Coturnix japonica: one gene and its partners. The protein of the gene in region 1 interacts with the protein of each later gene in a biochemical or structural test. Links are inferred from orthologs where the notes say so. Each region holds a gene or a part of one and is shown on either strand. Other genes may lie near its edges.

What was found.
Region 2: the proteins of MYOG (region 1) and SRF form a complex in vitro, tested with the Homo sapiens proteins (2 studies listed by BioGRID and IntAct). The link is inferred for Coturnix japonica from reciprocal best matches to the Homo sapiens genes MYOG and SRF.
Region 3: the proteins of MYOG (region 1) and CSRP3 form a complex in vitro, tested with the Homo sapiens proteins (2 studies listed by BioGRID and IntAct, with this or other methods). The link is inferred for Coturnix japonica from reciprocal best matches to the Homo sapiens genes MYOG and CSRP3.

The regions. Positions count from the first base shown.
Region 1 is NC_029541.1:1,351,281-1,355,314, forward strand, and holds the start of MYOG (myogenin), read right to left. Parts: upstream 2,801-4,034; 5' UTR 2,724-2,800; coding exon 2,244-2,723; intron 655-2,243; coding exon 573-654; intron 281-572; coding exon 159-280; 3' UTR 1-158. UniProt on the Homo sapiens protein: Acts as a transcriptional activator that promotes transcription of muscle-specific target genes and plays a role in muscle differentiation, cell cycle exit and muscle atrophy.
Region 2 is NC_029518.1:3,481,805-3,485,530, reverse strand, and holds the end of SRF (serum response factor), read left to right. Parts: intron 1-184; coding exon 185-376; intron 377-722; coding exon 723-799; intron 800-1,074; coding exon 1,075-1,170; 3' UTR 1,171-3,194; downstream 3,195-3,726. UniProt on the Homo sapiens protein: SRF is a transcription factor that binds to the serum response element (SRE), a short sequence of dyad symmetry located 300 bp to the 5' of the site of transcription initiation of some genes (such as FOS).
Region 3 is NC_029520.1:1,434,928-1,437,757, reverse strand, and holds the end of CSRP3 (cysteine and glycine-rich protein 3), read left to right. Parts: intron 1-340; coding exon 341-509; intron 510-704; coding exon 705-840; intron 841-1,460; coding exon 1,461-1,554; intron 1,555-1,686; coding exon 1,687-1,766; 3' UTR 1,767-2,248; downstream 2,249-2,830. UniProt on the Homo sapiens protein: Positive regulator of myogenesis. Acts as a cofactor for myogenic bHLH transcription factors such as MYOD1, and probably MYOG and MYF6.

The DNA of each region.
Region 1 (4,034 bases):
TGGGAGCGTTTGGAGAGGAGTGGGAAAGGATTTGGGCCGTTTCAGTGCTGCAGTCCACAGTGTTGGAGGGGTAATTATGATTTCCAGCAGCTGGATCCTTCCAGCATCTCAATCCCACCCCATTTCCAGCTTGGAGAGCTGCAGGGATTTGTGCCAGCTCAGTTTTGGACCCTTTCCTCTGGGAACGTCACGGCCACGTCCTCCACAGCGATGCTCTCCACAATGGAGGAGAGCGAGTGGAGGTTGCGGTCCTCTGCTGCATCATCACTCAGGAGATGATCTGAGAGAGAAGAGGCAGGGCAATGGGATGGTGGCCCCATGACACCACCCTGTGTGACAACACTGACATGGGGATCTGCTCCCAGATCCCGTCCTGATGGCTGCTTCCAGCACATCGGACAATGGGAGAAGTCTGAGTGCACTCAGGCAGTGCTGGAGGGGTCACCCAACACTGGGGTAGGGGGAGGACAAGGCTCCTCCTGTCCCCTGGCTGTGGGTTTTGGTTCAGGGATGCTCAGCCCCAGCACTGTGGTGTCCCTGGGATGGAGGGCTGAGGAAGGGGAGTTCCTTACCTGTGGGGTTGGTGCCAAACTCCAGCTGGGTGCTCCACTCAGGGCTACAGGATGAGCTGCCAGAGCCACACTCGCTGGGTGCCTGCAAGGACCAAAGTGCTGCACGAGCCCACCTCCACCAGCCAAATCCCACTGCCTGCCCCCAGCACTGCCATCCCTGGCAGTACAGCACCAATATGTGGTCACAGACCCAGAGCAGATGGTGACATTTGGGATCCTAGGGATCCACCAGTGCCAGGTGCATCATTAATCTCCATGAGTTCTGGAAAACCCATTTTGGTGCTCTGGGTGCATGGCCACCTGCTTGCACTCAGGATGCAAAGCTCTGCTGGAGGGGCAGCCAGACAGTATCAAAGTGCCAAGGTCTGAAAGAGGATGAATCTTTGCAAGTCACCCCTTTCTCCCCTTTTACAAAGTCCACTGATGTCAGTATCAATATGTAGATATCTGGTATCTGTATCTATATGCCATTCATCTCAATGTCATCTATATGTACATATCTATATCATTTATATCTGTAATCTATACAGTCTCTATTCATACCCATGCATCTGCAGTCTATATATCACCTATATCTATATATCATTTACATCTCTCATCTACACCTATATCACCCATAACTGCATCCACAGCTCCACATTCCCACATACAAAGCCTCAGCAGCCAGGAGTTGCAAACCATCATCCCCCAGCAACCAGATGGCAGACAAAAATATCCCCCAAAAATGTACTTAAGCCTCCAGAATCTCTTGATGGGGTGGATGGAGCCCAACCACACCCTGTGTGCTGAGGGCAGGATGCCACTGCCTCAAGGATTCTTGCCTGGATCCCAGTTTGGTGCCATTGGACTGAGAAACCAGTGCTGGTCCCCACTAGGACAAGTCCTCATGCACCAGGGGGTCAGGCCTAGAGCATTGTATTACTTTACATTGCTTTATGTTACATTACATTACATAGCTGTTGTTACATTGTTTTCTTACTGTATTGTACCATATTGTGTTGTACTGTATTGCAATGCATTGTACTGTGCTATATTTTTCACTACACTACTTTTCATTGCCATATTTTACCCCGCTTTGTGGCCCACAGACAGGGATTGGAACTGGAGGATCTTTGAGATCCAATCCAACCATCATATGGTTCCATGAATCCATGGTTCTATCATTCCATGACTCAATGATTCTATGATTCCATGACCACATGATTCCATGGTTCTATGATTCCATGTCCTATGGTCCCATTATTTTAGGACTGTATGATTCCTTGACCCAATGATTCCATGTCTCTGTGACCCCACGATTCCATGATTCTATGACCCCATGATTCCATGGTTCTGTGACCCCATGATTCCATGGCTCTATGATTCCATTATTCTATGGTCCTATGATTTTAGGACTGTATGATTCCTTGACCCCATAATTCCATGACTCTATTGCCCCATGATTCCATAGTTCTATGACCACATTCCACAACTCAATGATCCCATAGTTCTACAATTGTTTCTATGACTTAAGCCTTCCCACCCCCCACCAACCCACTGTGCTCAACGCAATGGCCATCAGCCCATTACCCACCAACACCCACTCATAGGGACAGCAAACTGAGCATCACCACCCCATTCCTCCATCACCACCAGCTCCCACCCCCCATCCACACCCATCCCCACACTCACAGCAGGTTGTGGTGCAGTGGGGCGGTAGCGCAGCTCCCTCTGCTCGCGCTCCTGCTGGTTGAGGCTGCTGAGCAGGCTCTGCAGGCGCTCTATGTACTGAATGGCGCTGCGTAGGATCTCCACCTTGGGCAGCCTCTGGTTGGGGTTGAGCAGAGTGCTGCGTTTCAGAGCCTCGAAGGCTTCGTTCACCTTCTTCAGCCTCCTCTTCTCCCTCAGTGTGGCCGCCCGACGTCTGTCAATGGACACGGTTTTGCGCTTGCAGATCTTGCAAGCCCATGGCAAGCATTGCCCAGGGCAGTGATCAGGCAACGTCGAGTCCTTCTCCTCCAAAGCCCCTCTGCTTTCAGGGCACAGGGACACCTCGGGCCGCTCGGGAAACGTGGCTGCCTCGTATCCCTGCAAGCGGGAGCCCAGGAAGTTTTCCCCATCATAAAACCTCTGCTCCGGGAAAAAGTAAGGGTTGGTCTCAAAGAGCTCCATGGGAGGACGTGTGCACAGCTCAGGGACGGCTGCTCCGTTTCCCTGCGCCAACTGCTCGGTGCCATTTAAACCCCAGCGCTGGCATTAAATCACAGAGATAAATATAGAAAACTTAAAGGAAACCTGAGCCCACCATAAGCTGCTGCCTCGCATCAAAACTTGTCCGGCTGCGGCCACGAGGACTGCACAGCTTGGGGAGGGAGGGGGGGGAGATGGTAGGGTGGGAGCTGCCCTGGCTGCCCCAACAGGGGCTTTGTTTGAGCCCGTGGGTGGCACTGGGGTTGCCAGCCCCAAACTGCATTCCTGTGTCATCTGGTCCCTTCAGTTATGGGGTGAAGTGGTCGGAGTAGGGGCAGCTGTGCAATGGGGTGCAGAGCCCAGTGCTGCTTGGAGCTCCTCACTTCTGTGCTGTGCCTCCTGTGTTCCCCCCAGAGCTGTGGGGCAGGAGAGAAACACAGCCCTGAGAGGGATGGCTCCCACCTTCCCAGTGGGGAAACTGAGGCATGGCAATGGGCTTTTGGTGAGCACAATGGGATGGGGTTTTCTCCCTTCCCCAAGACTCCAACCGCATCTCCCCGGCTTTGTCTGTAATCCTGAGGGCTTTTTTCCACCGGGAACGTCAGAAACCATCTCCCACCTCCTCCTATTCCTGCTCTGGGCCAGATTCCAGCAGAGGGATCGGTCAGTGGAAAGAATGTCAGACAAGAGTAGAGCTGACCCTGCAGGGATTTTATTCCCCAAATCACCCTCTCTGAGGAAGCACATTCCCCACACCCACCCACCCACCAGCACCCTGCCTGACTTTGGGTTCATTTAGAGCCATTTGGGGCCCTTCCTGGTGCTCTCCAACTGGGGGCCAGCCCTCTGCCAGCTCAGACAAGGATTCCTTTGGGGCCACAAGGAAAAGCATGCAAATGGTGATGAGGAGCAGACACAAAGCAGATAGGAGGGGAGAACCCAAGCCAGTGGTTTCCATCTGTGTTCTGCTGGTGGGACTTGCTGGTGGCCACAGCCCTGGTGATGGAAACCAGTGCCATTGCTCCAGCTCTGGGTGGGTTTTATTAATTTCGAGTGTGTTTGGAGGGTGAGGACACCGGGGTGAAACAACAGCTCCTTGGGCACGTGGCAGGGCCATATAGCAGAGTGGCCAAGCATTTAGCACTTCATAAAACATGGGCAGTGTTCTGCAGCAGTACCAGGGCTTTCCTGATCAGTAAGGGAGCATGAGAAGGGGATAAATTGGTCCCCAGGGCCCTGTGGGCTTTGTGCATCCAGTAGGTTCACGCTCCCCCACAGATGAGTAAGCAGCCA
Region 2 (3,726 bases), on another chromosome or scaffold:
CTGTAAGGCTGCCTTGTTCTCACTGACCAAAGCTCTCTTGCTTGTTCCCTGGGAGAACACTGTGTGTGCCTCCCCATGCCTGCTGCTAGCACGTGTGGGGGCTGAGAGGGAGGGTGGCTGTGCAGGTGTGTAAGTGTGGCAGGTTCCTGCAGTGTAACTTACATGTAGTTTGTCCTGCTGCCAGTGACCCTCCCAGCGACCATCATGACGTCGTCTGTGCCAACCACCGTGGGCGGCCACATGATGTACCCCAGCCCGCACGCGGTGATGTACGCACCCACCTCTGGCCTTGCGGATGGTGGACTTGCAGTCCTCAATGCTTTCTCGCAGGCACCCTCAGCAATGCAGGTGTCCCACAGCCAGGTCCAGGATCAGGGTAAGTCTGGGTTGGTGCTTCTTTGGGGGTTCTCCTTTTTCCATGTGTTTTTTTGCTATGTATCCATTCTAGAGGATTTTCTTCTAAACCATCATATCTACTGAAAAGACCCAGCAAGGGTCTGTGCTTTTTAGAGCCAGCTCTTCTCCTGTGTAAAGGATTCCTTGAGTCATTTTCTGGGTGAGAGGGTGAGAGTTGCTGGCGTGGGGGGAGTCAGGAAGACTGGAAGGGATGTGTGGGTGCATGAGGGGCCAAAACAGTGTGAAGGCATGCATGCAGGATGTGGATTGAACGCTTATGCTTGGTTCCCAGCATCTGGAAAATGATGTCATTCTTTCTGTGGCAGGTGGTGTCCCCCAGGTGTTCCTGACAGCCCCATCAGGCACCGTTCAGATCCCAGTCTCAGCTGTCCAGCTTCACCAGGTAGGTGCAGAGCGGTGCTCTCAGATGTGGTGGGTTCTGTTCCTGCTTCTCCTCTGGGGCAGTGCTGGTCCTGCTCTGAACATCCTTTATGGGCCTGGGCACTTGAGTAGGGCCAGTCCTCGGGTCTTGGGGAGCTGGAGGAGCTGTTTGTGCCGCCTACACATGGGTGAGGAGCTCTTGCCCTCCTTGGGCAAGTGGCGAGGGATGCTGGCTTGCTGGTGGTAGCAGTCTTTAAGTGCTGTCCCTTAGCACTTGCTCCTCCCTTCTCTCTCTAGATGGCTGTCATTGGGCAGCAGAGCAGCAGCAGCAGCAGCCTGACGGAGCTGCAGGTGGTCAACTTGGACACCTCACACAACGCCAAGAGTGACTGAGAGGCCTCTGCTGCTGGCCTTGTGCCGTCCCTGGCTTGTCACGCTGGGGCTGGCAGCAACTCTCTCGTACAGACTGCACCAGTTATTTATTGTTGCCTTTTCACGTTTCCTTCATCCACACATGCGCACACACACGCACCCACCCACACACACAGCATGCAAGGGGCTGCAGGACCCGCCTGGGGAGAAGCTGTGCTGGGGCCGTGCAGGGCTGGGGGCCGTTGGGATACTCGTCTCTCGCCAGCCAAAGAAGCTTGTCTCGTGAGGAGAAGGTGTGCTCCGTGCTGTACATACATCCTGGGGGCCCTTCCCAGCTGGAGGCCCTGGACCCTTCGGGGTGCTCACCCCATCTGTGGGTGTTTGTGTAGGGCTGGGGCTGGGTGCTGTCCTGCAGAGCCTCAGCAATGTGCCTTTGTGGGGGGGATGGGTCCTGGCTGCGGCAGCTCTCCCTGGGCTCTGCAGGGAGCGAGCGGCCTACTTGGATGTGCATATCTGGTTGGGCCTGGCGTGTGGCCCCAGCCTCCTCATGTGCACTACAGCAAGGCTTCCGCCCTCAGTGCCTCCTTGCTGGGCTGCCCGGTGGGTTGGCAGTTGCAGTGCTCAGTGGGTGCCCAGCAGCTCAGCGAGGCCATGGGCGGTGTCTTTGCTCCCAGCCCCGAGCTCCCATCTCGGCCCTCATGCTGCTTGTGGACTCCATACGCCCGAGGGGGGGGGGGATGTGACTGGATCTTTCCTGCACCCCTCTGCTGCAGCTCCAGCCACTGCTTTCTAAATTCTCTGATGCAAGGTGGAGAAGTGACTCCAGTGCCAAAGGGAAGAGTCCACAAGGCACTGAGCTGCTGGTGGGCAGCGTGCTCTTCCAGGGAGCAATGGGGCTGGAGGAGCCTCAGCAGGGCCACAGGAGAAGGACTGGAGTGTGCTTGGTCCTGCATGGGAGCTGCTGCCTGGTCCTGGCCCTGCAGGGAGAGCGAGTGAGCAAAGGAGCTGCTGCATCCTTAGGGGTAGGAGCAGCTACTGTAACTTCTTTTTTTTTTTTTTAAGTTAAAGACAAAAGAAGCCTTGGGGGGAGGAAAAAAAAAAAAAAAAAAAAAAGGAAAAAAAAAAAAAAAAAAAAAAAAAAAAAAAAAAAAAAAAAAGAAAATGACTTTATTTTTCTAAGTGTTAAACTCAGTATTTATGTAATACTTTAAGGAATAAAAGTTTGGCTCCTGTACAGTTTTCATGGGGTTTGTACCGGGGGGATGGGAGAGGGGTGGGTGGGCGTGGAGGCAGGAAGGGGCCTTGCTTTTGAGTTTGTATTGTAACCTTGGACATGTTCCCTCCACGTTAGCGTTTAACTGTGCTGTCTGCTGGGATGTCCCGGCCCTCCCTGGGAGATGAGGGGCTGTCAGCAGCCTATCTCTGCTCTCCCTGCCCATAGTGCAGGTGGCACCTCCTGAACTCCCAGCTGAGGGGCTGGGCTGGAGTTTCCCCCTCCACAGCCTCAGCTTGTGCTGTTTTTTAGCGCACGGATGTGGCCGGGTTCCTTCCATGACCTCTGCAGAGAGCTTGGGGTGTGCGTTAACCTTGCCCCAAGCCCGTTACCAGGGCTGTGCTTTGCTCTGCTTTGCTCGTGCTGGCCCTATGGGGCTGCGATGGCAGTGCCCTGCTGGGCATCTCCTCCCTTCCTCCCCAAAGGCAACCGCTGGTTAAACGCTAATGGTGTCTTTTATTTAAGTGCAGACTTGTAAGAACACTCGTGTATCAGGGACGAAACGGCATTTATTGTGTGGTGACATTTTTAATTCATTTTACTGGTTTGAGGGTTGTGTGTGTGCGTGCATGTGTGCGGGTGTGTGTGTGCGTGCATAGGTGTGTGTGTGTGCGTGTGGGATTCTTTTTTCCCCTCCAGTTTCCAGGGTCGTGTATCTGGAAGGATGTGGAAGTTAATCACAGTACTATGTACAGAGCTTTCTTTTGTATGGGAAAAAAAAAAAAAAAAAGAATAAATTACTCTTTCAATAAATGTTATCATTTTGTGCACAGAGCTGGAGTCTTGTCCGTGTTTTGCAGGTGGAGGGGCATTAGGGAATATACAGCCAATGAATGGGGAACTTGGGTAGACCCTACTGCACAGCCCTTCTACTGTACAGCCCCCTATTGTACAGCCCCCTACTGCACAGCCCTTCTACTATCGTACAGCCCCCTACTGCCCAGCCCCGGCTGCAGGCGGTGCCATCTCCCCGCCCCGCCCGGCGGCATCGCGCAGGCGCCTGGCGGAGCATTGCCGGACACGGAAGCGGCTCTGATCCGTCCCTCCGGTCTCGGTGGGGCCAGGCCCGGAGCCGGAGCGGCGGGCGGAGGTGAGCGGGGCGGCCCGGAGGCGGAGCTGGGCCGCGTGGTGAGCAGAGCGGCCTGCGGGCATCGGGCTGCTCCGGGAAGGGCGGGGAGAACGAGGGAAGGTGTGCGGGGATGGGGAGCAACGTGTGTAGGTGACTCTTGTTGGTTCCAGTGCGACAGCGAGAGGCAGCGTCTGCATGAAGCCTTGAGCTCTGCGTGACCTTGCAGTCAGCGCTC
Region 3 (2,830 bases), on another chromosome or scaffold:
TTGAAGGCAGATCAGGTTTCAGATCTGCAAAGCACAGCAGAGAACTTAGAGATCAACCTGCCTTCCATACCCATCTGATGAGACTCAGCAGACATAAGAGTGGCCTTAGCAACGGCTCTTGGCTCCACGTGCCATCCATGCCTTTCAGATAAGGGACACATGCCTACCAAGACAAGCAGCTGCTCGCACTCAGAGACTTCAGGTCCATTCAACCAGAGTCTAGATTTAAAGCAGTGACATAGAGGGTACAACTTGCACTCTACTGCGTGCCACTGTCACGGCACATTCTGTCCCCAGGTCTACTGATATTTACCCTTTATGCCTCTCTTCCTTCTGGCAGTGGCTTGCAGGAAGGCTCTGGACAGCACCACAGTGGCAGCTCATGAATCTGAAATCTACTGTAAGACTTGCTACGGGAGGAAATACGGCCCCAAAGGTGTTGGATTTGGACAAGGGGCTGGATGTCTCAGCACTGACACTGGGGACCATCTGGGCCTGAACCTGCAACAGTGAGTCCAACCCTAATGGCAGCACCATGTGTCTGCCTGGTGCTACCTGTCACTCAGGGCTGTTTCAGGTACCCTGTAACAGAGGTATTTTCCAATCACAATGATTTCCTGACTCTGTAACAGTGTCTTTTCCATGCTGGACTTGTTGATCTTAGCAGTCTTTTCCAACCTTAACACAGCAAACTTGTGTTTTAGGGGATCACCAAAGCCTGCTCGCCCTTCTACACCAACTAACCCTTCCAAGTTTGCCAAGAAGGTGGTTGATGTGGATAAATGTCCCCGCTGTGGCAAATCAGTGTACGCTGCAGAGAAGATAATGGGAGGAGGAAAAGTAAGTAAAAAGGTTACTAAAAATACAAACAAACCCTTTTCCCCCTACACTGATTAGCTATAACTAATAACCCTTGAAGATTTTGCCTGGTTGATGAAGAAAACATAAGGTTGAATAAGCAAAACATCCAACGTACTGACTGTCAGATTTCAAGTCACATTGAAGCTATGCTTTTCCATAAGCCTACAACATTTTGCATCTTAAGGTCTGAGGGTCAACCCTTCCTTTTTGGCTCCTGCTGTCATCCTGCTATAACATCTCTTGGGACAGTTATAATCTAAACATTGATTTGTAGGGGCAAATGCAGATATATTAAAGAGATCCTATGACCAGAAAAAACAGCACTGTGATATGCTGGCCCTCTGCTCTAGAAGCTCTTACTCATTATCACACCATGATGTGGCCAAGGAGAGCGCTATCTACAGCTCTCTGCTTTTTACCAGAGTTCCAACAACAAGAAGCTCATTAAATAAGATCCTAAAACTAATCTAAAAAGTACTGAACTTGTAAGCCCAGGAAGACAAAATTAACCTCACCGCACAACAAGAAGCAACAGCTGTTCCTTGCATCCACTAGCTCTGCATCTTCTGTAATATAACAAACCATCTTCATCCCTTCAGCCTTGGCACAAAACATGCTTCCGCTGTGCTATCTGTGGAAAGAGTTTGGAATCTACAAACGTTACAGACAAAGATGGAGAGCTCTACTGTAAAGGTAAGAATTATTCCTTTTAGACCTAATATTGCTGTTGTGATTTGCCTTGCTGCATTGCTTGATAACAACAAATCACAAAAGCCACTTAGGGAAGCATTCACAATACTCTTTACCTTTTCCTTTCTTTTGCAGTTTGCTACGCAAAGAACTTTGGCCCCAAAGGAATTGGTTTTGGTGGCCTCACTCAAGTGGAAAAGAAAGAATGCGAGTGAAAAGAAGCGGATGCAACAGAGTCAATCTGCTGCTGATGTCAGCAGATAATAGTTGTCAAGTAAAACAAAAGCCATCACCTACAGCTTGTAACATAGGGCGTTCGTGAGATACTTTCCATCTTGCAGGACAACTCTTAGAACAGCTTAAAAAAGGTACAGTGATCAAGTCAGGTTCTTATACTAGTATTTACCACAGTTCAGACTTTAAAGAGTCTGTCCCATTCGGACAGAGATACCCTATGAATCACAAGGGTCAGAGTCTTTTGATCTAGGCCAGTTTCCTCATAGTGTTTTGAAGACTTCAACATTATTTCTAAGGCAGAGTAGATATTATTCACTTTGACACAGTTTAGAAGTATTTGAAATTCCCTCTCTAAAAGGGAGATCCTTCTGAAGATAAAGCAAGTCTTCTTAGAATATAGAGTTTAAGTTTTGTTATTGTACATTTTCAAGCTACAATAAAGTGCTCCTATTGCTTCACATTTCTGTTTACTTCAATTTGCTTGTGTTTTACATCCCACGGTGCCACAGACTACTGCATTTCAAGGAGGAAATTTCATCTCCCATTCCTTGACTGCAAGAATTCTGTCTCATTACACTGCTTCCATCTACATTGTTAGTTCTAGACAGCATTTTACTTTGATTTCCTGAATTCAATCTGCTTCTGATAGTTTTTATTATGAAGTACTTTGACTTCCAACACACTGCTCAGCCTGCCACACTGGAATGATGCTGTAGCATCTTGTGAGCATGACTGTTAGCTGTTGTAGATCTATGTAGGTATGCAGGTGAGAATAGTTGCCTTTTTCATACATGCTAATGCTTTCTATCATCACCTTATCAATTTTCATAACCTAACAGGGCATACACACGAGCTGAACTTAAGGCAAACAAGCTAGGCTTTGTGCTTACCTGTTCTTAAATACACTCCTGGTCGTATCTCTCATGAATCTGTTTCAATCTGTAAAATATTTCTAGAAGCATAAAAACTCTGTTTCATCACACATAAGACCCCCAAATACAGCGTTAATAGACTCTGTTCACAATGTAAGATAACCAGTTAC